Linked DNA regions of Canis lupus familiaris. The protein of the gene in region 3 purifies or fractionates together with the protein of the main gene of each other region. This does not show direct contact. Links are inferred from orthologs where the notes say so. Each region holds a gene or a part of one and is shown on either strand. Other genes may lie near its edges.

The links.
Region 1: the proteins of PTPN3 (region 3) and SHKBP1 purify together in Homo sapiens (affinity purification with mass spectrometry; 4 studies listed by BioGRID and IntAct, with this or other methods). This does not show direct contact. The link is inferred for Canis lupus familiaris from reciprocal best matches to the Homo sapiens genes PTPN3 and SHKBP1.
Region 2: the proteins of PTPN3 (region 3) and KCTD3 purify together in Homo sapiens (affinity purification with mass spectrometry; 4 studies listed by BioGRID and IntAct, with this or other methods). This does not show direct contact. The link is inferred for Canis lupus familiaris from reciprocal best matches to the Homo sapiens genes PTPN3 and KCTD3.
Region 4: the proteins of PTPN3 (region 3) and VANGL2 purify together in Homo sapiens (affinity purification with mass spectrometry; 3 studies listed by BioGRID and IntAct, with this or other methods). This does not show direct contact. The link is inferred for Canis lupus familiaris from reciprocal best matches to the Homo sapiens genes PTPN3 and VANGL2.
Region 5: the proteins of PTPN3 (region 3) and VANGL1 purify together in Homo sapiens (affinity purification with mass spectrometry; 4 studies listed by BioGRID and IntAct, with this or other methods). This does not show direct contact. The link is inferred for Canis lupus familiaris from reciprocal best matches to the Homo sapiens genes PTPN3 and VANGL1.

The regions. Positions count from the first base shown.
Region 1 is NC_049222.1:113,947,054-113,951,911, forward strand, and holds the start of SHKBP1 (SH3KBP1-binding protein 1), read right to left. Parts: upstream 3,314-4,858; 5' UTR 3,261-3,313; coding exon 3,175-3,260; intron 2,939-3,174; coding exon 2,885-2,938; intron 2,734-2,884; coding exon 2,688-2,733; intron 2,584-2,687; coding exon 2,510-2,583; intron 2,230-2,509; coding exon 2,171-2,229; intron 1,959-2,170; coding exon 1,878-1,958; intron 406-1,877; coding exon 244-405; intron 148-243; coding exon 57-147; intron 1-56. Other genes in the region: SPTBN4 (spectrin beta chain, non-erythrocytic 4), read right to left, coding at 4,595-4,753.
Region 2 is NC_049259.1:11,679,284-11,684,085, forward strand, and holds the start of KCTD3 (BTB/POZ domain-containing protein KCTD3), read left to right. Parts: upstream 1-1,359; 5' UTR 1,360-1,374; coding exon 1,375-1,457; intron 1,458-2,431; exon of another isoform or gene 2,432-3,022; intron 3,023-4,802. UniProt on the Homo sapiens protein: Accessory subunit of potassium/sodium hyperpolarization-activated cyclic nucleotide-gated channel 3 (HCN3) up-regulating its cell-surface expression and current density without affecting its voltage dependence and kinetics.
Region 3 is NC_049232.1:64,991,986-64,996,911, reverse strand, and holds the start of PTPN3 (tyrosine-protein phosphatase non-receptor type 3), read left to right. Parts: upstream 1-1,743; 5' UTR 1,744-1,809; coding exon 1,810-1,861; intron 1,862-4,926.
Region 4 is NC_049259.1:22,648,805-22,653,112, reverse strand, and holds part of VANGL2 (vang-like protein 2), read left to right. Parts: intron 1-429; coding exon 430-566; intron 567-1,042; coding exon 1,043-1,178; intron 1,179-3,122; coding exon 3,123-3,354; intron 3,355-3,960; coding exon 3,961-4,221; 3' UTR 4,222-4,308. UniProt on the Homo sapiens protein: Involved in the control of early morphogenesis and patterning of both axial midline structures and the development of neural plate. Plays a role in the regulation of planar cell polarity, particularly in the orientation of stereociliary bundles in the cochlea.
Region 5 is NC_049238.1:53,739,767-53,744,074, forward strand, and holds part of VANGL1 (vang-like protein 1), read left to right. Parts: intron 1-1,777; coding exon 1,778-1,911; intron 1,912-3,397; coding exon 3,398-3,530; intron 3,531-4,308.

The DNA.
Region 1 (4,858 bases), on a different chromosome or scaffold from region 3:
GTGAGCCCTTCCCATTAACAGGGCTCCAGCCTCCAGCCACCACCCTCCCTGAGCACCTATAGCAGACAAGAAACTGGGTATAGGCCACAGCGATCCAGTTGTGGTGTCCGCACACCAGGCGTACCATCCCTGGCTCCTCCGGTAGCCCTGGGGTGGTGGGGGGAAGAAGAGCGATCAGGGCAGGGTCACAGCACCCCCTCCCCCAGGCTGGCTGCCCCAGCTTCCCAGGGGACCGAAGCCTACCGGAGGGAGAGGGAGGGGCTCTTTCATCCAGCATTCGGCCCAGCAGCCCTGCATTGCCCAGGTTGGGGGGCATTGTGTTGCTGCGTCGAACGGGGGCTGGGCGTCCCCCTAACTGCTGGGGCCCCACCAGGCTGTGCCGGTTCCGCCGCTTTGCTGGAAACACTATGGCAGGGAGAAGGAGCAGAGTGACAATGATTGTAATAACTGTAGCAATTGCCACGTCACAAGCACCTAAAATATGCCAGATACTGACTTGCCCACATGTGGGGCACAGTCTCCTGCCAAAAAGATTTTAGGTGGTGTGGGGACACGGCGGGCAACGAACGACACTGAATCACACAGCAAGCTACTCCCTTTTCTATTCCTCTGAGCTGCACACAAAGGACAAATCAGCTTGGTGCTGCCAAAACAGTGCTCCCTTTTCAGTATTTGCTTTAAGAAATGGAAGCCTACCTCGTTGGCAGGCAGCAGCATCCCAACACTGGTATTTGGAGATTTTCTTTTCTTTTTTTGAAAGATTTATTTATTTGAGAGGCAGAGAGAGCGTGCACAAGTACAGAAGAGAGGAAGAAGCAGACTTCCTGCTGAGCAAGGAGCCTGACGCAAGCTGAAGGCAGATGCTCAACCAACTGGGCCACCCAGGAGCCCTGGGGATTTTATATTCACGTTTACTTATTCAAGGTATAAAGGTAGTGATAAAAAGCTTCTATTTAAAATGACTTTTGTACAGGGCACCTGGCTGGCTCAGTTGGAAGAACCTGAAACTCCTGACCTTGAGGTTGTGAATTTTGAGCCCCACATGGATTATAAAGATTACTTACAAAAGTAAACTTTAAAAAATGACTTTTTAGGGGCACCTGGGTTTTTTCAGTGTTTGAATGCCTGCCTTTGGCTTGGGTCATAGTCCTGGGGTCCTGGGATGAGTCCTGCATCAGGCTTCCCGCAGGGAGTCTGCTTCTCCCTCTGCCTCTGTGTGTGTCATGCTCCCCCAAAGCCCCACGAGCTCATGAATCGATAAATAAAATCTTTATTTAAAAATTTACTTTTATTAAAAAAAAAAAGACTTAAAAAAAACCCAACACAGTAAAACTAAGAAAACAAAAGCACAGATCTCCGTATTTGACAAACATCATGAAGGTATTGAGCAAGGTTAGGGAAGTAGTTGTAAGTCGAATTTCCCCATTTTATTCCTTTTTCTCATCAGCAAAGCCTCATAGACTACAGTTCCCAATAACCACTGGGGTATATTGTCCATGGCCAGCTGGGGTTGCGGGGGTTGCTGATCTAACGTCCCATGAAGATTCTAGTCAATAACCCCCCCTTTATATTTCTCCCCTCCCTGCAAAGGACCCCATTTCTTCCTAAGCTTCCCCACAAGGAAATCAAACCTGGACTGAGACCCCCTTCAGGCTCTAGGGCACACTTCTGAGCCTCAGGGCAGGTAGCTGGCCCACTGACTGCCTCATTGGAAATGCAGTCTCCTACTTCCTTTCCCTCAATCCAGCCTCTGATATAGAACTACAACTCCCATAGTGTCTCAGGGCTCACAGCACAGGCGACCAAGGGCCTCGACCTTATGGGAAATGTAGTCTTCCATCAGCCCTCCCTCCCCTCCATCCCTTAGTTGTGCCCACCTGGTGGAGGCAGGTAACCATTGAAGAGAACGTTTCCACAAGAAGATCGGTCCAACTCCTCCCGCAGCTGCAGGCGGCGAACTGAGGCGGAATAACTCGAAGGCTGGGACTTGGGGAGTACTGAGGCACATCCTATCCCCCTCCCCAGCTCATTCTACACCCATCCCCCTTGAGACCCAGGACCAAATCCAGTGCTCTCAGCGCTACCCCTAACTTCTTTCAGGAGAGAAGCATCAGGAGAGCAGGAGTTCGTTTTCTATGCAATGAGGAAGCTAATGGGGCCCCCCACTTACCCAGAGGAGTGAGCCCATAGAACTGGGCTTCGTGGAGGAGGCTGGAACCATGAACACCCCTGAGTAGCAGAATTCACCAGGGGTTAGAGTTTGGGGAGTGGGAGTTGGTCGAGAATTCTGAGGAGGAAGCTTTCAAAACTGCACAGAGAATTGCAAGAGGTAGCAAATTTTGACTGGATCAAGATTCTAAGGAGCGATGAAATAGATGGGCAATGAAAATGTGTGTGTGTGTTTGGGTTAAACTCTAAGGACACAATTCAAATCGGATTGAGGGGCTTAAGGGAACATTCTGAGGGTAAGAAGATGAAGACGGTGGGGTCCCTCTATCCCCATGCAGACCTGGGATCCAACTCTTTGGTGCGCAGGAAGTTGAGGATGGGGGCGAAGACGGTGGGGTCCCTGTCGATGAAGATCTGCGGGGAGGGAGGCAGAGGATGGATGGGGCAGAGCGGGGCTGAGTGAGGCTCCAGTCCCTCCTCCTACCCACTGCCCTATTTAAGCTCTATGCCCTACTCACGGCTCCAGTCTCATCTTTCAGTGTTGAGATGCGTCCGCTCAGAAGACTGTAGGGAGGGGACACAGAGCAGGTGTCACGGGCCAGGGTGTGTGTGGGCGCACGGGGGGTCGGGGGGAGGGTGAGTGGGGGGATTAAGTCTCCCCATACCGTCTCTTCCCGCCACCCACAGCCCGCCCCAAATTCGCTCTCCCGGTCACCTGGAGAAGAAGGAGTCTGGGATCCAGGTGAGAGTCTGGCGAGAGGTACTGAATCTACGGGGGGAAAGTGAGCGGACGCGAAGGGTTGGAGGAAGAGTAAGGAACGCGGCCCCCTACCCTCCCCGACTCCCCCCCAACCCGGCCCTCCTCGGGCGTCAGTCCGGGCACTCGCGCCTTCAGCAGGAGGCGGAGCAATCCTTGATGGACAAGGATTCCCCGCGGGAGAGGCGGGTACTCCCACTCCGCTCCCCGCCCCCGAGGTGGGGGCCTCAGGAATCTCCTACACTCACCTCTTGCCTCCCACGTTCAGATGAATCACCTCCCCGGGAGGCCCCCGACCTGGGACTCCGTCGGCTGCAGGCGCCGCGGCTGCCATGGCCCCGGGGCGAGCCGGCCGGCCAGCACCCGCTTCCGGGTCTGTACTTGGGCCCCGCCCCCACTGCCTGCTCATTGGCCTGGAGCCTCCCGGAGCCGCCGGCGATTGGACAAAGCGCCCACTCGTAGCAGTTAATTCTCCGCCTCCTTAAAGGGCCCCGCCTTTCCTGTGCTGGACGGGGCGTACCGCAAGGCCCCTTTGGGGAAGTTTAGATAGAAGGGCCAGCAAAACATTCCTCTAGCCTTCTGGTTCCCAATTTTAGAATCTAGGTGTTTCGTGAGGGACGTGTGTTTAAATCCCGAAATTAGTACACATCAAGAGAACATCTAAAAGTTCTCTGCTGCCATTAGTCTTTCCCTGCGCCGCCCCCCTCTCCCCCGCCCCATACATCCTCGCAGGCGCGGCCCATTAAACGCGAACAAACCGGCATAGACCGTCAAAGCCAAAGGATTTATTATAGGTACATACAGTGTGCGCCTGCCACACCGCCCCACACCCCCAGGCCCCAGCGGCTCCTCCAGGCGACCATGGGGGCTGCCACAACCCTGTTCCCCCACTCCCTAGGGAGGTGCTCCGGCCAGAAGCATGCAGGGGGGAGGGCTTCCTCTCGCCCCTCCCCTCACCAAGTGGCATTTACAGCTGGAGGGGGGAGGAGAGAGGAAGACAGTTTTGAGCTTTGACGCCCCTCCCATTAAAAAGCCTTCGCGGATGCGGGGCGGGGGGGGGGGGGGGAGGAGGTCGACGTTTTGCAAAAATAAACTAAGTCAGGAATTAACCGCATGGCTCTGAGACGGCGGAGTGCAGGGGCCAAAGCCCCTTCACTCCCCCTTCCCAGACAGAGATCAAGGCAGCATTGGAAGTGAGGTAAAGGCGGGGAGGAGGCGTCCCCTCCCCACCCCCTAGCACCCTGGATGGTCCAGGGGACCTCACCAGCGGCCCCATGCCCATCCCTAGGGCGGAGAGGGGGGCAGGAATTATCGCCCCCTACCACCCCAGCTTCTTGGGGCAGGATCTGGAGATCCGGGCAGGGGGCTTGGCTCAACTGGCCCCTTTACCCGCCCCCTCCAACTCAGTTATTGCATAAAAATAATGGAGCCCCAGCACCTGGGGTGGGGTGGCGAGCAGGAAGGGGCCGAGATATGGCTATAGGGGCAGCAATCCCCCCACCACTTCCTGGAGTGCAGGAGAAGTCCCCTCCTTTCCAGTGCCCATCTTGGCGCGTCCGCAGTGTTGGTGGAACTAGAGGCGCCCGCCCCTGCGGAAGAGAAAGTGTCTTTTTGCCCACAGTGCGGCGAGAGGGGCGGGGATGTGTGTCAGGCCCAGAAGGTGGGAAGTCACTTCCTGCGCCCGCTGGCCCTCCGCTCCCCCGCCTCTCGCTTGGGGTTGCCTTCGTCCGTGGAGGACGTGGTGGGTAGTGTCTGTCCCCAGCGGGCGATCTCAGCGTGCTCGCCCACGGAAGCGGCCACGGCCTCCAGCCAGCCGTTCATCTCCTCCTGGAGAGAGAAACAGGGCAACAGAGTCCGCTTTTGGAAGAAGGGAGACCGCGCAATAGATGACCCTGGAATCCGACTGCCCTCTGAACTTCAGTTTTCCAATCT
Region 2 (4,802 bases), on a different chromosome or scaffold from region 3:
ATTATAGTGCTGATTCTTTTTTTTTTTTTAAGATTTTTATGCATTTATTCATGAGACACAGAGAGAGAGAGGCAGAGGCACAGGCAGAGGGAGAAGCAGGCTCCCTGCAAGGAACCCCACGTGGGTCTCGATCCCGGGCCTCCAGGATCACGTCCTGAGCTGAAGGCAGGTGCTTAACCGCTGAGCCACCCACGTCCCTAAGGTTTTATTTTTGGGAAGGTTCAATTTTTAAGTAACCTCTATGCCTAAGGTGGGGCTTGACCCTGCCAACCCCGCAGATGGCGCCAGGCACCCCTCCTTGTGTGAGGATTTTTTAAATCGCGCTTCAGCAGCCTCCACGTTTTCAGGTTCCAATACATATACTACCGAAAGCAGACATTTATTTATATTATATATATATATATGTTTCAGGTGTGTGACCTACTTTGAACGCTTACTATATCCCAGAGACGCACTGCCCTGCACGGGCTACGGGGGGTTCCTCGCTTGCCCTCGGCTTCCTTCCCTTCCCTGCCTGGCAAAGCAAGGAACAAAACTGCTTGGGGGACCCGGGTTGAGGCTGAGGGAGTAACACGGTAGGGAATTCTCTCAGGTAAACGCTGTAAAAAAAAAAAAAAAAAAAAGTTACAAAACCCCCAGGTTGCATTGGCTTTGCCCGGCGGGGCTCTGGAGGCGGAGGCGGAGGCGGAGGCGGAGGCGGAGGCACCGAGCACCACCTCCCGGGCACCGCGCCGCCACGTCCCGAGCCACGTGGGGCCAGGAGGGCCGCTGGAGGAGGGCGGCGGGCAGGGGGTCGGGGGGCCGGGGGGCCGCGGGGCGGCGGGCAGGGGGCAGGGGGGCCGCAGCTCGTTCCCCACGTCCCCGCGCGCCGCGGCCGCGAAGCTCCTCCCCGCCCTTCCTGCCGCCGCCGCGGGCGAAGCGCTGAGCGCGGCGGTGTTTTGTCCCCAGCGGCGACCCCTCGTCCCGCGCAGGCTGCGGCTGCGGCGGCCGCCGTGGCGGTGGCCGTGGCGGTGGCGGTGGCGGCGGCGGCGGCTGCCGAGCGCTAGGACAGGCCCGCGCCGGCCCTGCGGCCTGGAGGCCGGGAGAGGCGGAGGCCGGGCCGCCCCCCGGCGCCGCGGGAGCGGAGGGGACCAGGCGGCCGCCCGGGAGCTCGGCCCCGCCGCCGCGAAGGTGGGGGAGGCCCCGCGCCCCTCCCGCCCTCCGGCCGCCGCCGCCGCCCCGCTGGCCCTGCCGCCCCCGCCCCCGCCGCCGCCGCCGCCCCCGCCGCCGCCTCGGGCTCCCGCCGCCGCCGCCGCCGCCGCCGCCGCCGCCGCCTCGGGCCCCACGGCCCCGGCCGGGGAGGGCGGGCGGCGTGCGCGGCCGGAGCCGCCGGAGATGGCGGGAGGGCACTGCGGCAGCTTCGCCGCGGCGGCGGCCGGCAGCGCCGAGATCGTGCAGCTGAACGTGGGGGGGACCAGGTGAGTCGGCGGGGAGGGCCGCGGGGCCGCTGCGGGGGGCGGGGACGGCTGTCGGGGGGACCCGGTGTCGGGGGGGAACCGGGTGTCGGGGGGGAATCGGGTGTCGTGGGGGTCCCGGTGTCGGGGGGGAACCGGTGTCGGGGGGACCGGGTGTCGGGGGGGAACCGGTGTCGGGGGGGAACCGGTGTCGGGGGGGAACCGGGTGTCGTGGGGGTCCCGGTGTCGGGGGGGAACCGGTGTCGGGGGGACCGGGTGTCGGGGGGGGACCCGATGTCGGGGGGGGAACCGGGTGTCGTGGGGGGAACCGGGTGTCGGGGGGGAACCGGTGTCGGGGGGACCGGGTGTCGGGGGGGACCCGATGTCGGGGGGGGAACCGGGTGTCGTGGGGGTCCTGGTGTCTGGGGGGAACCGGTATCGGGGGGGAACCGGTGTCGGGGGGAACCGGTGTCGGGGGGGACCGGGTGTCGGGGGGAACTGGGTGTCCGGGGGGAACGGGGACGAGCGTAGGTGGGAGGCGAGCGGGTGGGGCAGGCGGGGGCGCCGGGCGGAGCGGAGGTCGGTGCCCCGGGAGGGGAGGGGCGAGGGGGCGGGGGCGCCGGGGCCGCCCTCCTCGGACGCCAGCCCTGCCCCCCGCCGCCTCGTTCCAGGCGCTCAGGCTCGGGCACGGGAGCGAGCGTACTTGGGCGCGCTCTGCGGAAGCCCGGCCTTGTGGCTTGGCCCTTGCGCCGCAGCCTGCCGCCGCCTCGGTGCCCCCTGAGGCGGGAGCGCGGGGTCGGGTGCTCAGGGTCTGCGCGCGGGGCCTTGAAGCGCGGGTCGGGAGCTGCGGTTGCGGCGGTTGCGGGGGTTGGCCCTGCGCGGCCTGGCGCGCACGTGGCCCCCTCCCCTCCTCCTCCTCCTCCTCCTCTCCCGGCCTTCCGCTCCCTGCCTCTGCCTTTTATTGAGCTCGGGGGGCGGGGGGGGGGGGGGTCAGTTTTTGTGGATTCGCTATGGTTTATGACTCACCCTTCTCAGAAATGGGACTTTGCCAGCTCTGTTGGAAGGAAGGGGTTGGTGAGGCTCAAGCTTGGTAGGAGACGAACGACGAGGTCCTTCCAGAATATCCCTGGGTTTCGACACCCAAGACCTGACCAGTATTTTTTTAAACGCGGAACAGCAGCAGTGTGAGCCGGAGGCATAAGATGTGTCGGGTTTTAATCCTAAACATTCAGTCATTTTCTAAGTGTGCTAGAGAATGCAATGCAAGAAACAGTAATTCTTCATCCCTTCCTGTTCTTTCTTTTCCCGAGCACCGGGAAGCACAACTGCTTAGCAGTGTAAGATGGGACGTCATCGTGCTATCGAGATACCCATCTTCTGAAGGTCTATGGCTCCCGATGTAGGAAATGGACTTTTCCCCCCTAAAATCACATGACATTTTTGCAGGTTTGGTAATTTCTGGATGCAAAGAATGGAATAACCCACAAGAGCTGGCGTTCAGTGTTTGTTAATGCTGAGGAGCAGCACTATAGCCCCTTAAAATCCCTGCACACAGCCCTAATTTCTGTAGATTGCTGCAATCTTTTCAGGTATTCTAAAGGACATACACCATTATGATAAAAATTAAATGTATTATTATTTACTGTATATTGAGAGTGGGTGGTTTAATAATGAGTGAATTCCTGTTAATGACTGTAGAATTCAGTTTATACTTTTAAATCCTAAAAGGCAGCCATCTTGGAGCTGGAACATTTTATTTTCTTTTACTGTGTATGGAACTTGATGGTAACAGGTTCTAAGTTTCCTAAGTGATGATATTAGCAAAGAATACAAAATAAGGTGAACGTATTATTAGATTGAACAATTTAGAAGACATGAATGTTGTTAGATAGGAATGAGAAATAAAACCACAGACTTTAAATTTGCTAGGATAACATAGTTTATAAAAAAAAGTAATGACATGGCCTTTACAAAAAATAGAACGTAGGACTCCCTGTATGCTGAGGATATTTTCTTGAGTTACTTTGAATCATATACTCTTGGAGTGTTTTAGAGCTGGAAGGGATCCAGAAGTCATCTCTGTGTTGTGCAAAACATATTAACACAGTCACTTAAACCATTGTAAAGAAAAAAAAAGATCCTGATTTCATTGTCATTAAAGTTGAGCAATTGCCGCTGGGAGAACCACCTGTGGCATAGAATGGACGCAGGCTCTGGGGTGATAGAGTAAAACTCAGGAGAGTATATTGTGAGCAGAGAAGCATATGCTACAGGGTAAGGTCTTTCCCCTCACCCACTCCAAGAGAGGAAGGATATGAAATTGGAAATACTCGAATTATAAAAATGAGCAATTTTTTTTTATGATTTATTTAATGCTTTGTGAGTGATTCAGGAAGCGGAGGAGATGAGATTGCATTTAGGATTGACATTGTTTACAAAAAAAAAACACTAAAGAAGTGAAAGAAACCTAATATGACTCTATTTGTGATTAATTCTGTTATGAATGAGTATGATTTGAAGCCTCACGAGAAAGGTTTGGGACCAGCTAGTGGGGGACTTAGAGACAAAGGACTTTGGAATCATGCAGATATGTGGGTACCAGTTCCCAGGCTTAAACTCTAACTAGCTCAGCATCCTAGGACAAGTTATTTTTTAGTGCTTAGTTTTCATAAGATCTAAATGACAATAATAACACCAACCTTATAGGATTGATAAAGGAATTTGAAGTAATGAGAAATGCAAGGGTTGATGGCATGGTAACATTGCAGAATAAATAATTTTAATTAGATTGCTTCCAAGTTAGAGGCAAATGGCAAGAGTCTAAATGTGGATATGCTAATGTTTTTAGTGACATTTTTGCTGAGAACAGATTGGACATCGCCCTTTACTTGGCCCACTGTGGGTATGTGATAAAAAACATTAGAAGAGGCTTTCATATATGTTGCAGAAAATTATGCTTATCATATGTGATTTTAAACATCATTTTTATAAAGTCATACTTGGAACTTAGTTTTGAAGATCTGTGAGTTTTTTTTTGTTTTTGTTTTTCCCCATTTGCCGCCTTCTTGTTTGAATAAAGAAAAAATTGGTGTGGGTGAAGATCTAGTGGCTCTGCCCAGAGATTTCAGATTACTAAACCTACCCAAACTGCTGATTATAATTGAAATTGCTAATAAACTGTAAGCAGACCTGTGTAATTTTCTAAGTAACACAAAATTTGAGTTATCTGGCAAACAATTTGCTGAACAGTCAGTAAACATGAAAGATCACAAATTATAATGACTTTATTTGGAAATTAATTTGTTAGCTTTCAGAATACAGGGTTTTTGTTTTGTTTTGTTTTTTGTTTTTGCAGTGGATCCTTGTATC
Region 3 (4,926 bases):
GCACCAAATAGCTAGAATAACGAGGAAATTGTAGAATTGTAGCCTTTGCTTAGGTCTCCGAGAAGCACCAGTTGCACCCTACATCTGCTTCCTGTCAGCCACCACATTGCACTGCCCTCCTTCCCCTGGGCTACGGCTGGGGGTGAGGGGCATGCTTGTGCTTAGAGATATCAGGTACAGCCCAGGTTGGTTTGGTACATCCTGGAGGAGAAGGGACCTGTGCCTCACACCAGGTGACACCTGAGGAGAGATGGGGAAACAGTCTCCTCTGCCCACCTCCATGCACAGGATAGGAGGGAGCAACTTTAGAACAAAAATGACATATGACAAGGCTAGACCAAGAGGGCCTGAGATAGCCCTCCGGCATTCCCCAGATCCTCTGCGTGGCCCAGGAGAGCCACCAAACATCTCCCTTACAAGGAAGACACAGAAGCTAGCGGAAAGAAAGAGAGCTAGCAGTTCTACAGATGCCTCAAGATCACGTTTAAACAAACCGACAAACAAAAACACCACATAACAATGAATGCCAAAAAAAAAAAAAAAATGAATGCCAGCATTTTCCAAATGTCTGAAGACCAGACGGGCCACACATTTTAATAGCAGCCAGGATGGGAAGACCTCTGACCTCTGAAGGCCATACACATCCTCCATCTCTCTCTCTCTCTCTCTCACACACACACGCACACACACACACACACACACACACACACACTCCTTTCAGTGGCTTGAACTTATATACAACCATGGAAAAAAAGGGAGGGTTGGGGAAGTGCTGAGCCAGCTGAGAAAACCTAGAATTGACAAATTTCTACTACCAGAAGGAATTAGGGCCTGGGAGAGAAAGCAATTGAAGCTGTAGAAGAAGAAAGCCACCTTTGTGGGCAGATCTGAATTCTAAGTCCCCAGAGTCACACTCCCTACAAATGTTTGTTGATTGAATGAATGAACCAATTGTGTTGGGGGAAGGAAAATGTGTTGCATGCAGCCAGTTCCTTGGTAGAGCAGGCCTGGCTGTTCTCCAGGGAAAAATAGTAATTACTCAAAAGAGTATCTGCTCTCTAGCCCTCGCTCAGTGCTTATCTGTTGTTCCTTGAGCAGGTCGCAAGGTTCGTTAGGACTCGGTTCTCTGATCTGTAAAATGGGCATAATGAAATCTGCCCCGCCTTCCTCTTATCAGGAGAACAGATGGAGATAAGGTATAGGAAGTTGCTGTACATGGACTGTCAATTAGGACATGTGGATCCCCTCGGTCTTGGGATTCAAGAAGCAAGAGTAAATGAGCTCAAGGATGAGAGTTGTGGGGTACCCCTCTCCTCCACCAAAAGGTCTTAAGAGCCCACAGGGAGCAGTGACCAAGTTTTCCCTGCGACCACAGTAGTGCTACTGGGAGGCTTCCGAGGACTGCACTCTCCACATCACAGAGCATACTTCACCGGGAAGAAATTCTCGGGGCACGAAACAGATTTATTTTCATTGTGAAATCGTCCGTCTGCTATGCAACAACAAATTAAGCTCTGGGTGACTATTCCCGTAAAACACGTCCTGTGCTCAGCGCTGCTATTATGGGGTGGATCGCCGAGGTAAAGAATCAATTAAAACTCTGACACATTAAATGGAGCTCAAAGACCTGTTTCACAGGTTTCCCCAGAGGAAAATAATCACGTTGCATTATGCTTTGGGAGCCGATCGAGGCAAGAGTCCTGAGACAGGTTCTGGGGTTTACCAGACAGACTGCGGCCTTTCTAAGTCATTCTCGAAGCGCCACTCGCAGCGTTAGGGCATTCCACGCTCCCTTCGTCCCGGGGCACCATGGTCGAGCAAGAGGGATTATCGTCCTGCGGGCATCCTTCTCCGGAAAACCGTAAGTTTCCTGGAAACAAAGCATTTAAAGAAATGGTGGAAATATTGCGGTGTTTGCATTCACGCCCATTCTGGAATGGAAGCAAATGTCAAGCAAGGAAAACCAGAGGCCTAATAAAACTGAATATCCTTTCTATTTTTATAATAGGGCTTTGCCACCCAAAGGGGGGTCATGGTTTAGAAGGTCTGTTTCCAGAGAAGTTCTAGGATTTCAAGGGAAGCCTCACAAGAGAAAAGGAGAAAGAAGAAAGAAAGAAAGAAAGAAAGAAAGAAAGAAAGAAAGAAGGAAGGAAGGAAGGAAGGAAGGAAGGAAGGAAGGAAGGAAGGAAGGAAGGAAGGAAAGAAAGAAAGAAAGAAAGAAAGAGTTAATGCTAGAATGGGAATAATGGGAATAACGTTTGTGGTCGCACTGCTCAAACCATGTTTCCATGACAGCCGGTAGGAATGTTAACGTTAAGAACCTCGTGTGTGCTGGGCTAAGTCAGACATCTGTGTAAACCATCTTCGATCTCAGTGCCTGAGTAACTTCTGTGCCTCAACCTGAAAGAGGAGAAGAGATGTGGAAGTTCAGGCGGTGTCTTTTCAGCAGTGTGGCCTGCAAATGAGCTTCACAGCAATAAAGAACCGGACGAGGCCAAAGCAAGGCGAGTGTCAGCAGTGACCATTGCCCAGGGGACAGGTTGCGGCCTGCCAGCGCCACAGGCGTGGCAGGAAACGGTCGGGGGCGGGGGGGGGGGGGGGGGACCCAGCTAACCCCTGACTTTAGGGGCTCACTCAAAAGCAGAGAAAAGGCAACGCGAGGGTGCAGTGTAAATGTCCCACTTGCTTTTAAGATATTTTCCCCCCAGGAAAGCGAGAGAGACAGAAAGAAAAGGAAACTCGGAGGGTTAGGACAAGACGAAGCCTGCCCTTGACGTGCTCGGCTTTGGTTCAGAACAGGACATTTTTCAGAGGAAATGCTCTCATGGTGCAGGAATCCGTTCGGTTAGGAATGTAAACTGTGTGACAACTCTGTCACGAAGTCAACCGCCAGTAGCTCTGCTTCTTCCTTTTTTCAGGATGAGGAGGTGAGAAGGAGGTGGGATACCCTCTTTTTAATCAAGCGCGCTACTCACTAGAACTTTTCATAAAGAAAGACCTTTTGTTCTTTGCTCACGTTGCTGCCTCCATCCTTAAGTTCCCCTTTATTGCTTGGGGGCGGGGGGGGGGGGGAGAAAACTTTTTTACAGAATAATATGTACCGGGTGCACAAATGCTTTCCTAATCTTTGTGGAACAGAGGTCTCTCACAGCTACTGAGGGGAGCTCAGAATGTGCTGGCACCTTGGGATCTTGGGGTCTTGCCAAGGTCCTTGGGGCTGCAGGAATAGAGGGTGCCCTGCATTCTGGCCTCCCTCTCAACTCTGTCTCCTCAAAGGGGTACCCCAACCCCATTGAGTTCACAGGAAAAACAGTGCCCATTGCTTTAAAGGAAACCAAAAAATTGAGTATCACTAAAATATGCAACCTTTTCATTCGACCGAGAAAGGACTCTAACTTGCCAGAGAATTATAATGAGTTAGCTAAAGGCAAATCAGCAATAGACGCCAGGCATATGGATGACTGGTTCTAACTGGTTCTACTACACTGGTGTTCCCTTCCCCTTGTCCAAAGGAGTCGGCAGGCTCTTCTTCACCTCACCCACTCTCCATCTCCACTTAGCTCGTTACTCATATTCAAAGCTTTACCGCATACACCACATTTTCCTCAAGGATAAAACTGTATTTAGTCCTCCTAGAGTCAATCCAGTTCCACAAATATTTTATTTTATTTAAGATTTTATTTATTTATTCATGAGAGACACGGGGGTGGGGGGTTGTGCGGGCAGAGACACAGGCAGAGGGAGAAGCAGGCTCCATGCAGGGAGCCCGACGCAGGACTCGATCCCGGGACTCCAGGATCAAGCCCTGGCCCAAAGGCAGGCGCTAAACCACTGAGCCACCCCGGGATCCCACAAACATTTTACTGAGCACCTTCTCCATGAAGTCCTAGGCCCCCCTGAGATTCACAGATGAAGAAGACACAATCCCTGCTCTCAGATACGTATATAGCCTGTTATGATTTTTTTTTAATTTTTTTTAATTTATTTATTTATGATAGTCACAGAGAGAGAGAGAGAGAGGCAGAGACACAGGCAGAGGGAGAAGCAGGCTCCATGCACCGGGAGCCCGATGTGGGATTCGATCCCAGGTCTCCAGGATCGCGCCCTGGGCCAAAGGCAGGCACCAAACCGCTGTGCCACCCAGGGATCCCTAGCCTGTTATGATTAAAGGCATCTTCTAATTGTACTATGACAGAAATTCACCTGAATATATGGTGCTATTGAAACACAAGAGAAAGGAGAGGAAGACAGTCTGGCAGTTCCTCAAAACATTAAATATCGAATTATCATGTGACCCAGCAATTCCACTTTTAGGCCTATACCCAAAAGAATTGAAAACAGGTACTTAGACAAACACATGTATATGCTGCACTATTTACAATAGCCAAAGATGGAAGCAATCCAAATGTCCACCATCAATAGGTGAATGGGGAAACAAAATGTGGTATATTCATTCCATGGAATACTATTCAGCCATTAAAAAGAAATGATTTCAAGGGCACCTGGGTGGCTCAGTGGTTGAGCATCTGCCTTTGGCTCAGGGCATGATCCCGGGGTCCTGGGATCGAGTCCTGCATCGGGCTTCCTGCAGAGAGCCTGCTTCTCCCTCTGCCTGTGTCTCTGCCTCTCTCTCTCTGTCTCTTTTGTGAGTAAATAAATCTTGTTTTAAAAAATGGCATGAATTTCTAACACTGCCACCACCACAGCTGAGCCTCAAAAATTCTGCATTACTTAGAAGAAGCTAGACACAAAGTTCACTCATTGTATGATTCCATTTATGTAAAACATTCAAAATAGGGCAGCCTGGGTGGCTCAGTGGTTTAGCGCTTGCCTTTGGCCCAGGTTGTGATCCTGGAGTCCCAGGATCGAGTCCCACATCAGGCTCCCTGCATGGAGCCTGCTTCTCCCTCTGCCTGTGTCTCTGCC
Region 4 (4,308 bases), on a different chromosome or scaffold from region 3:
TTTCCTAGCCTTCCTGGAGGCACAGCCTTTGGGAGCCCTCGAGTCAGGGTCACCGAGATGAGCTGGCCAGAGGAGGGACAAGATAAGGGGAGTCCCACTGCCCCCACCAGGCCACACGGTCTCGGGAGCACCTCCTGGTCCCCGTAGGGAATGCTGAGGGACTCTTGCAGGGGAGGAGGCGACCCTTTGTGGGGACCCAGGCCCAATGGCCTTTCTCCCCTGGGCTTCAGCACGGCAGGGAAGGACTAGCAGGCCCAGCCCTGGGGAAGGCTTGGGAGCCCGGTGAGTAGACCTCGGGCCCTGAGCCAGGCGTCTCGGGAGCGGCTTGTCCCCGTCCCCGTGTCCTTTCCTGCCCTGCCTACCTGTCCTGATGTCTCCCTCCCCCGGCCCCCCTTGTCTGTCCCCCACCCCCTGCCGTCTCCCCCACAGCATCCAGCGCGTGGCCGTGTGGATCCTGGAGAAGTATTACCATGACTTCCCTGTCTACAACCCCGCCCTCCTCAACCTGCCCAAGTCCGTACTGGCCAAGAAAGTGTCTGGCTTCAAGGTGTATTCCCTCGGAGAGGGTGAGCGGCCCGGCTCCCCTGCCCTGCCCGGCTCTCCGGCTTCCGGCTGTCCGTCCATCCCCGTGAGCTGGGCTCTGTCCCTGCTCCCTGTTCTCTCCACCTCCTCTGGCCTTCCCCCCCTCCTTTTGTTCTGTCCTTCCCCTTGACTCCAGGTGACTGAGGTCAGCTACTGGTTCTGCTCCCTGTCCCTTGATGCTGTGCCACCTGCCCCCTCCCCCAATCTGGCTTCTCTGCGTCCGCTCACCAGCCCCCATCCTAAGCCCTCAGCTCTCTGAGCTCCAGGGCCTCCTGCCCTCTCGCCTTCCCTGTTGCTGGCCTGTGGGCCTGTGCTGACCAGGAGGGCTGGGAATGGGACGTATGGCAGGAGGCGGGCACAGCGTCCTCTGGGTGTGTCAGTTTGCTGTCCCTGGACTCCCCGGGATGGGAAGTGAGCCTGCGGTGCAGTGACCCTGTCCGTGTCTCCTGCTCCCGCACAGAGAACAGCACCAACAACTCCACGGGCCAGTCCCGGGCCGTGATCGCGGCCGCGGCTCGGAGGCGGGACAACAGCCATAACGAGTACTACTACGAGGAGGCCGAGCACGAGCGGAGGGTGCGCAAGCGGAGGGCCAGGTGGGTCCCTGGGCCGGGCGGGGGCGGGGGCACTGCTGCGGGGCCCCGTGACTGCGGGGGGCAGGTGAGCAAGCATGATGGGGTGCGATGCGTGCATCCGCGTCCTGTGGCCGCCCTAAGTCCCAGGAGCTGGGCGCTCTTGCACAGCAGGCTCTTCAGCTCAGGTCCCACGGGGCAGGCCCGGCTCAGCTGGGCCCTCCGCTCAGCGTCGCAGGCCGAAATGCAGACGACTCTCGGAGCCGGTGCCCTCCCAAGCTCCCCGGCCGTTGGCGCTGTCATTCCGGGTCGCTGGCCCCATGGGCAGTTCGCTTTTCCCAGCCAGAGCAGGGCTGTCTGGCTTCGTAACACCTGGAGAAAACTGCGTTTCAAGGTCTCCTGTGAGAAGGCCACGCAGGCCACGGTCATCTCCCCGGCGACAAGTCCGAGTCCGCTGGTTGGGCGCTTGAGTTGTATCTGCAAAATGTACCGAGTTAGCGGAGTAGCCGGGCGCTGGGAATGTGCTGGCGGTGAATGAAGGGAACGTTCTAGAATTCTGGGTGCCGCCGGGAGCCGGTGAACTGCAGGAGCCTCTCCTGCAGCACAGGGGCTGCGGCCAGACCCCCCACCCCACGCGGGACGCTGCTCCCGGCCTGTGGAAAATGAGGGTGCGGCGCTCCGTCCCGGTGCCTCTTAAACACCGTCACGTTGCTTCCGTTCACGTTATCCTGCGCACGTCAGTCGCCTGAAGAGTCTCCTGGTGATGCTGCTGCCCGGTCCCTCGTGGCCTGTGGCGATTTCCACGGGCCTCGGCAGGAGAGGGCCCCAGGCCTTGACCGTCGCCGCTGCTGCCCCTCTGCCCACGCCTCCAGGCTGCAAGGGAGGACGGTATCCCGTCCCTGTCCCCCCGTGAGGAGCTGTCACTTCTCTGCCTCCGGTTGCCTCAGAAGGGGGCCTGGTGGGAAGGAGCCCAGAGACGCGCACGCCCCCCTCACCCTGACCCCAGGCAGGGGTTTTGGGTCCCCTGCGTTGCCAGTGCTCTCTGGGGTCTGCTTCCTTCCCCTCTTACCCGGGTTGTAACCCGGAGAGAGCTTGTCCCGTGTGTCACCTGAGATGAAAGGGTTTTTTCCAAAGGACGTTGACTGAGACGCTCAGGGGAAGCTCAAGAATAACAGAGACACTGGCCGCACCCCGGCCCCCTTGCCCTGCGCCCAGAACCCTGCCCTCAGCTGCCCGAAGTCCCCCGGTTCCTGGGGTTCCCGACGCGGCCGTGTCCCCGTCTACTTTCTACGTGAACTGGCTACTTTTCCCTGCTCCCTGAACGCCGTTGGTGAGCTTGCCCCGTTGCCTGGGATGCGGCCGGTGGTGTCTTGTCGCCGCCTGGTGTTCCCGATGACCACTCGGCGCCCCCCGCGGGGCTTGGATTCCAGGGCCGCTCCCCGCCCTCGTGTCTCGGTGGCCACGGGACACTTGTCTTCTCCGGCTGCTGACCGGCCACCGCGCCGGCCTCGTGCGCCGCAGCGTCCCTCCCAGGCCTCGACGACCGGTGGCCCGGCCTGGCCGCCTGCTGCAGCGTTCTCGCCTTCTGCTTCCCAGTGTGTCGTCAGTTAGTAGCATAACCACCTCCCCCCGCCGGATGTTAACGTTGCCTCCGCTGCCGGGGTGTGCGCGGTTTGGGGTCTCCTGTGGGAAGGGGTCTGCAGGTGAGGCTGTGCTGCTCTGTCGCAGAGCATGGTCCCTGCCGCCTCGGTGTGACGCTGGGCCCCTGTACCCGGGCTCCCCGAGTCTACAGCTGTTTACTGCCCCTCCCCCATGCACATGCACCTGCGTCCCCGCACCAGCCCCCATAGCCCAGCCCTTGGCTCCAGGTGGGTTTGTGTTATTTCGGGAGTAGGGGGGCTGCTGGGGGGTGGGAGCCGAGGGAACGATGGGGGTGGGCGTCTGGTCCAGGCCCCTCCTGTCCCCCAGGCTTGTGGTGGCAGTGGAGGAGGCCTTCACTCACATCAAGCGGCTGCAGGAAGAGGAGCAGAAGAACCCCAGGGAGGTGATGGATCCCCGGGAGGCAGCCCAGGCCATCTTTGCCTCCATGGCCCGCGCCATGCAGAAGTACCTTCGCACCACCAAGCAGCAGCCTTACCACACCATGGAGAGCATCCTGCAGCATCTCGAGTTCTGCATCACTCACGACATGACGCCCAAGGTAGGCCTGCTGTGCTGCCAGCATCCCGCCTCGCCCCCGGTCCGCCGTGGTCTCACTGCCCCCGCCCTGCAGCCCTGCCTTCTCCCCCCCCCCACCCCTCTCTCTCCCTTCCCCCTGTGGTCTCTTCCTCATCCCTGCCCCCCTGATCTCTGCTCTGAGTCAGGTTCCTGGGTGATGAGCAGGGGCAGCTTCCAGGTTCTCCTGGGAATGGCTGAGACGTGGTCCCCATCTCTGCAAGGGTCTGCGGTTGCCGCCCCCAAAATTCCCCCTCTGCCCCTTCACCTGCTCTTGATTGTCAGCCTCCCAGAACTGCATCCCCAACCGCTTGGTGAGCAGGGTGACGGCCTCCATGAGAGCAGAATGGAATCGGGGGGCCTGGGGTCCTGGCCTGGTGCGGGGCACGTGCCGGCACGCATGTCCTGACCCCGTGGCACCCCCATTCTCCATGGGCTCTGTTTCCCCACGTTCAAAACAAGGGTCTGAAGCAGATGAGCTCAGCCCCTTCCTGCTCTGATGTTCTAGATGGTGTGGAAGCTGTGCCTCCGGGGGGCGGAGGGTGGCGGGTGGCCGGGAGAGATGCCCACGCAGTCCCTGACCTGTCCTCAGGCCTTCCTGGAGCGGTACCTGGCGGCCGGACCCACCATCCAGTACCACAAGGAACGCTGGCTGGCCAAGCAGTGGACACTGGTGAGCGAGGAGCCCGTGACCAACGGGCTCAAGGACGGCATCGTCTTCCTCTTAAAACGCCAGGACTTCAGCCTGGTGGTGAGCACCAAGAAGGTCCCGTTCTTCAAACTCTCGGAGGAGTTTGTGGATCCCAAGTCACACAAGTTTGTCATGAGGCTGCAGTCTGAGACCTCGGTGTGACTGAGCAGCAGCGGCGGGGGACGCGGGGTCCTGCGGGTGGGGGAGGGCTTGGCTCTCGCCTCCTGCCGCCTCTGTCCTCCTGCCCCC
Region 5 (4,308 bases), on a different chromosome or scaffold from region 3:
GTATTTTCACCAGATTCTTCCAGCCCCCCATGAGTGTGCAGGTCAAGGCCAGTACTAAGCAGCAAGACTGTGGATCGAGGCACCGTGGGAGGTAACTCAGAAAGCTTTGCCATGACTGCTCTTGAGGAGGTTAGCTGATTGACTTCTAGATCGTTTTTCGATCTCGTGCTAAACGACAGGAGTCGAGCAATGGGTTGACAGCGTGTCCAGCCAGTAGGTTAGAGGCTGCATTGTCTCAGTGTAAAGTGAACATCCGCAAGCTATGCAGAGTTAGGGTGGTCATCCAGGAACCCAAGGCAGCTACGTCTTGGCTCCCAGGCTGTTGTGAGTAATCCTTATAACCACACCTGCTTAGCAGGTCTAGGGAGGAAAATATAAAGGGCAAGGTAAAAATAAATTAGTGGAGGGATGCCTGGGTGGCTCGGGGTTGAGTGTCTGCCTTTGGCCCAGGGTGTGATCCCAGAATCCCAGGATCGGGTCCCACGTTGGACTTCCTGCATGGAGCCTGCTTCTCCCTCTGCCTGTGTCTCTGCCTCTCTCTGTATCTCTCATGAATAAATAAATAAATAATCTTAAAAAATAAATACATAAATAAAAATAAATGAGTGGAGTTGGCATCGGTATGCACACTGTCCCACAGAGGTCACACATCCCAGGGAAAGAGCGCAGGTTGGGGGCTTGTAAATCCAGATTGGACTTGCAGCTCTCCTGTTTGGTAGATGCATGCTGTGTGCTGGTCAGAGGTTTTTCTGAACCTCAGTTTTCTTACCTTGAATGATTGTGGAAGTCAGACAAGATGGTGCATGAAAATCCGTGCTGTATTAGTACAAGTTTCTCATCGAAGTGGTGAGTTGCCCACATCTATGGCCAAGAGTGAGTTCTTTTGCTGCCAGTAGGGAGTATGGGTGCTCCCCCTCCACTGCCCTCCCACCTGTTGGTGTTTCCTATTCTCTGTTCCTCTGCTGCTGTCTGAGGAGCCAAACAGGTGACAGCAGAGGTCAAGGACATTAAGGCAAGGAGAGTCCCCTGTGTCCCCTCATCCCAGCTGAGGGCCAGAGACAACAGTCCTAGAGGCAGAAGGCCTCACAGACCAAGAAGGATCAGAATCTCAGCAGAGGGCTCGGAAGGGGGTCTTGCTTTCTCTGAAAGAGGGAGCTCCAGCTGGCCCAGGGCAGCCCAGAGGATGGAACCTCGGGATTCATTAACGTCTACAGCCAGCTGCTTTCGTGTGCCCCCTGCCCTGTGTCCTGTACAGTTGTAGTTTGATCTCTGTGGAACCCAAAACCCAGCCTTCCTTACAGCAAGAGACAGGGAAAGGGGGGCGGGGGTGGAGCTTAGAGGAGACCCTGTACTGGGACCTGAGAAACCTGAGTCTACACTTTGTTCTTTCACCCATTCGTCCTGCCACCATCTTTAGGTCTCTTGACTGTTCCGGGAGCCTCCGTCTCTTCCTCTGTAAACTGGGAGAAATGGGAAAGTTCTGTGCGGCCTCAACAAACCTAAGTTACAACTGATTCCTTTCTCAACTCTTGGCTAGATGAGGTGGATATAGCCTGGGAGGAGGCCAAGAAGCCACTTGATGACCGAACTCAGTTTCACCTTTCAAGTCTCATCCTGGAGACAAATGGCATGGTCAGAGCCAGGAGCCTGCCACTACAGGAGGTTACCAGTAGTGTTCCGCCCTCCCTCCCTCCAAAAGAGGATTTATTTTTGTTGTCATTTGGGACCTGCTTCTTCGATGAAAAAGCATTGCATTAATTTTGCTCTCTTTTCTCAGTATCCAGCGAGCAGCATTGGTGGTTCTGGAAAATTACTATAAAGATTTCACCATCTATAACCCCAATCTCCTAACAGCCTCCAAATTCCGAGCAGCCAAGCACATGGCCGGGCTGAAAGTCTACAATGTAGATGGTACGTGCCTTGAAATGGCGTCTGTGGTTGGTGGGTGTAGGGGGCACAGGTTGGACGACTCTTTAACTTAAATTTTATGGTCCGTTTTGTTTTCCCTCCCCTCAGTGTCTGTCTTTCTGGTACACTCTCAATTCAGAACAATTTTTGTCTTTTCTCTTTCCTTTCCTTTTTGTTTTCTTTCTTGCTTGCTTGCTTGCTTGCTTTCCTTCTTTCTTTCTGCAGGCAAATATACTTTCAAAGGAATGTTGATTTACAGTCTATACATGTGGGAGGTTCATTCATTTTGGGGTTTTCTGATTGAAAACAATAGTGATGTGTGTTTCCTGCCTCCTGGTGGGAACATCTATGGAAAGCTGCTTTTCAAATTTTGGATCAGTTACTTAAAGGCTCCATGAAGTCAGTAACTCTCAGTAGCTCAGGCATCTGGTGAGATACTTCCAGGGATTTCTCAATCCTGGCTGGGAGCTGGGGCTGAGTGGGTGGCAGGAGGCCAGAGGCCAAGCCGAGGACATGAGAGCTGCATCTCAGGCTATCAGATGGTTCAGTGCAAGAAACAGGACACAGTGTCATTTCTTGCTGGGTGTCTTGGGTCAGAGCAAGAGCTCTGTAGAGCCTAGAAGAGGACCATAGTGTTAGCAAGTCACGTGATCAATGGACGGTTGTCAATTTTTACTGAGGATACCCTCCCCATTTTGGCGAGGGTGGGGGTGACCGGGAGGGGGGCCTTTATAAGATGTGTGTTCAGTTGGAATTCCCAGAGGGTTGGTAAACGTCACCTGTGATCTGAAAACTTACTGAAAATTCCCACTGGTGAAACCAAACCATTAACCAAATAGTTGATACAGAAGAAAGCGTGTGATATGCTTTGTCCTTCTGAAAAGTTAAGGTGATCTGTGGTCAGGGCACCAGGGTGGGGAGTTGCGAGTCTGTGTTCACAGACGTGCCGTATTGCAAGTCCTCAAGTATTTTGTTTTTTTATTAAAATTGTGACTCCGGTGACATTCCAGCATGGCTTATTGTCCTGTGCGTAATCAGTGTCTCTGTGTCCCCTGACTTTCTTTCTCTCTGTGCTTGTTCTCCCCATCCCTCTCATTCTCTCTCATTGTCTTGTTGCTGAAATGTGATGTTCCAGCTACCCTTATGGCCAAACTGCAGCTTTATGTAACAGATGGTGAGTAACCTCTACAGCATTCTCTTGTGTGTTATCTTTGGCCAACATTTTCATTGTCCGGCATTCTTCATCTCCTTCTGAGTTCTTTTTCCATTCCTACTGATCAAATTGGGTTTCGGGGAGATTTCCTTCTCATGAGCATACCGAATGTGAGCCAGGAGTACCATCCACCCTTTTGGAAGTTTCTTTTGACATTTGTGTATGTGCCTCTCAGAAGGTGGGTGGATGGTCTCAACAGACCATGGTACTAGTTTCCTGCTGTTTTGCAGCCTCTTGGCATTAAAACTGTTCTTCCTCCATTGTCCTTCCCCAAAGGCCCCAGTAACAATGCCACCGGTCAGTCCCGGGCCATGATCGCTGCAGCCGCTCGGCGCAGAGATTCAAGCCACAACGAGTTGTATTATGAAGAGGCAGAGCATGAGCGGCGGGTGAAGAAGCGGAGAGCAAGGTGCGTTGCCCCCCACACCCGACACCAACACCCTATTGTAGCAGACTTTTGATTTTTTTATCTTTTTTACTGCTAGAATGAAATCTCAGTGTATAAACGTGAGCTCCTCGAGCCTTGGAAGTGTTCCTGCTCGATTGTTTCGTGTGCACCATCATCACCAGGAGGGCTTATTAAAGCACAGATCTTTTTTTTTTTTAAGATTTTATTTATTTATTCATGAGAGACACGGAGAGAGGCAGAGACACAGGCAGAGGGAGAAGCAGGCTCCATGCAGGAAGCCTGATGTGGGACACGATCCTGGGACTCCAGGATCACAACCTGAGCCAAAGTCAGACACTCAATCACTGAGCCACCCACGCGTCCCTTAAAGCACAGATCTGAGGCTCTGAGGCCCCACCTGCAGAAGTGACTGACTTACTATTCAGTGGGGCTGGAGTTGGGCCCAAGAATTTGCATGTCTTACAGATTCCCAGCTGATGCTGACTTCCTATGGCCCATGCTTGGAGCAGCCCCCTAGCCCACCCCCAGGCCCTTGTGGGTTCTAAGGTTCTGATCGTGTTAACATGAAGTGGACAGAGTTGGTTCCCATCATGGATGCTGGGCCTCTTCCTTCCTTTTCCCAAGGGGCTGCTGGTGTGGGTGGCTGGATCGAGGGGGATACAACTCTGCTCCTTTGCAGGCTGTTTCTGTATCACCAGCCGCACGCCTCTCGGTATTTGCAGGGCCAGAGTTTGAGGAATCTTAGAGCCCTTTTCATCTAACCCTTCATTTTAGAGTT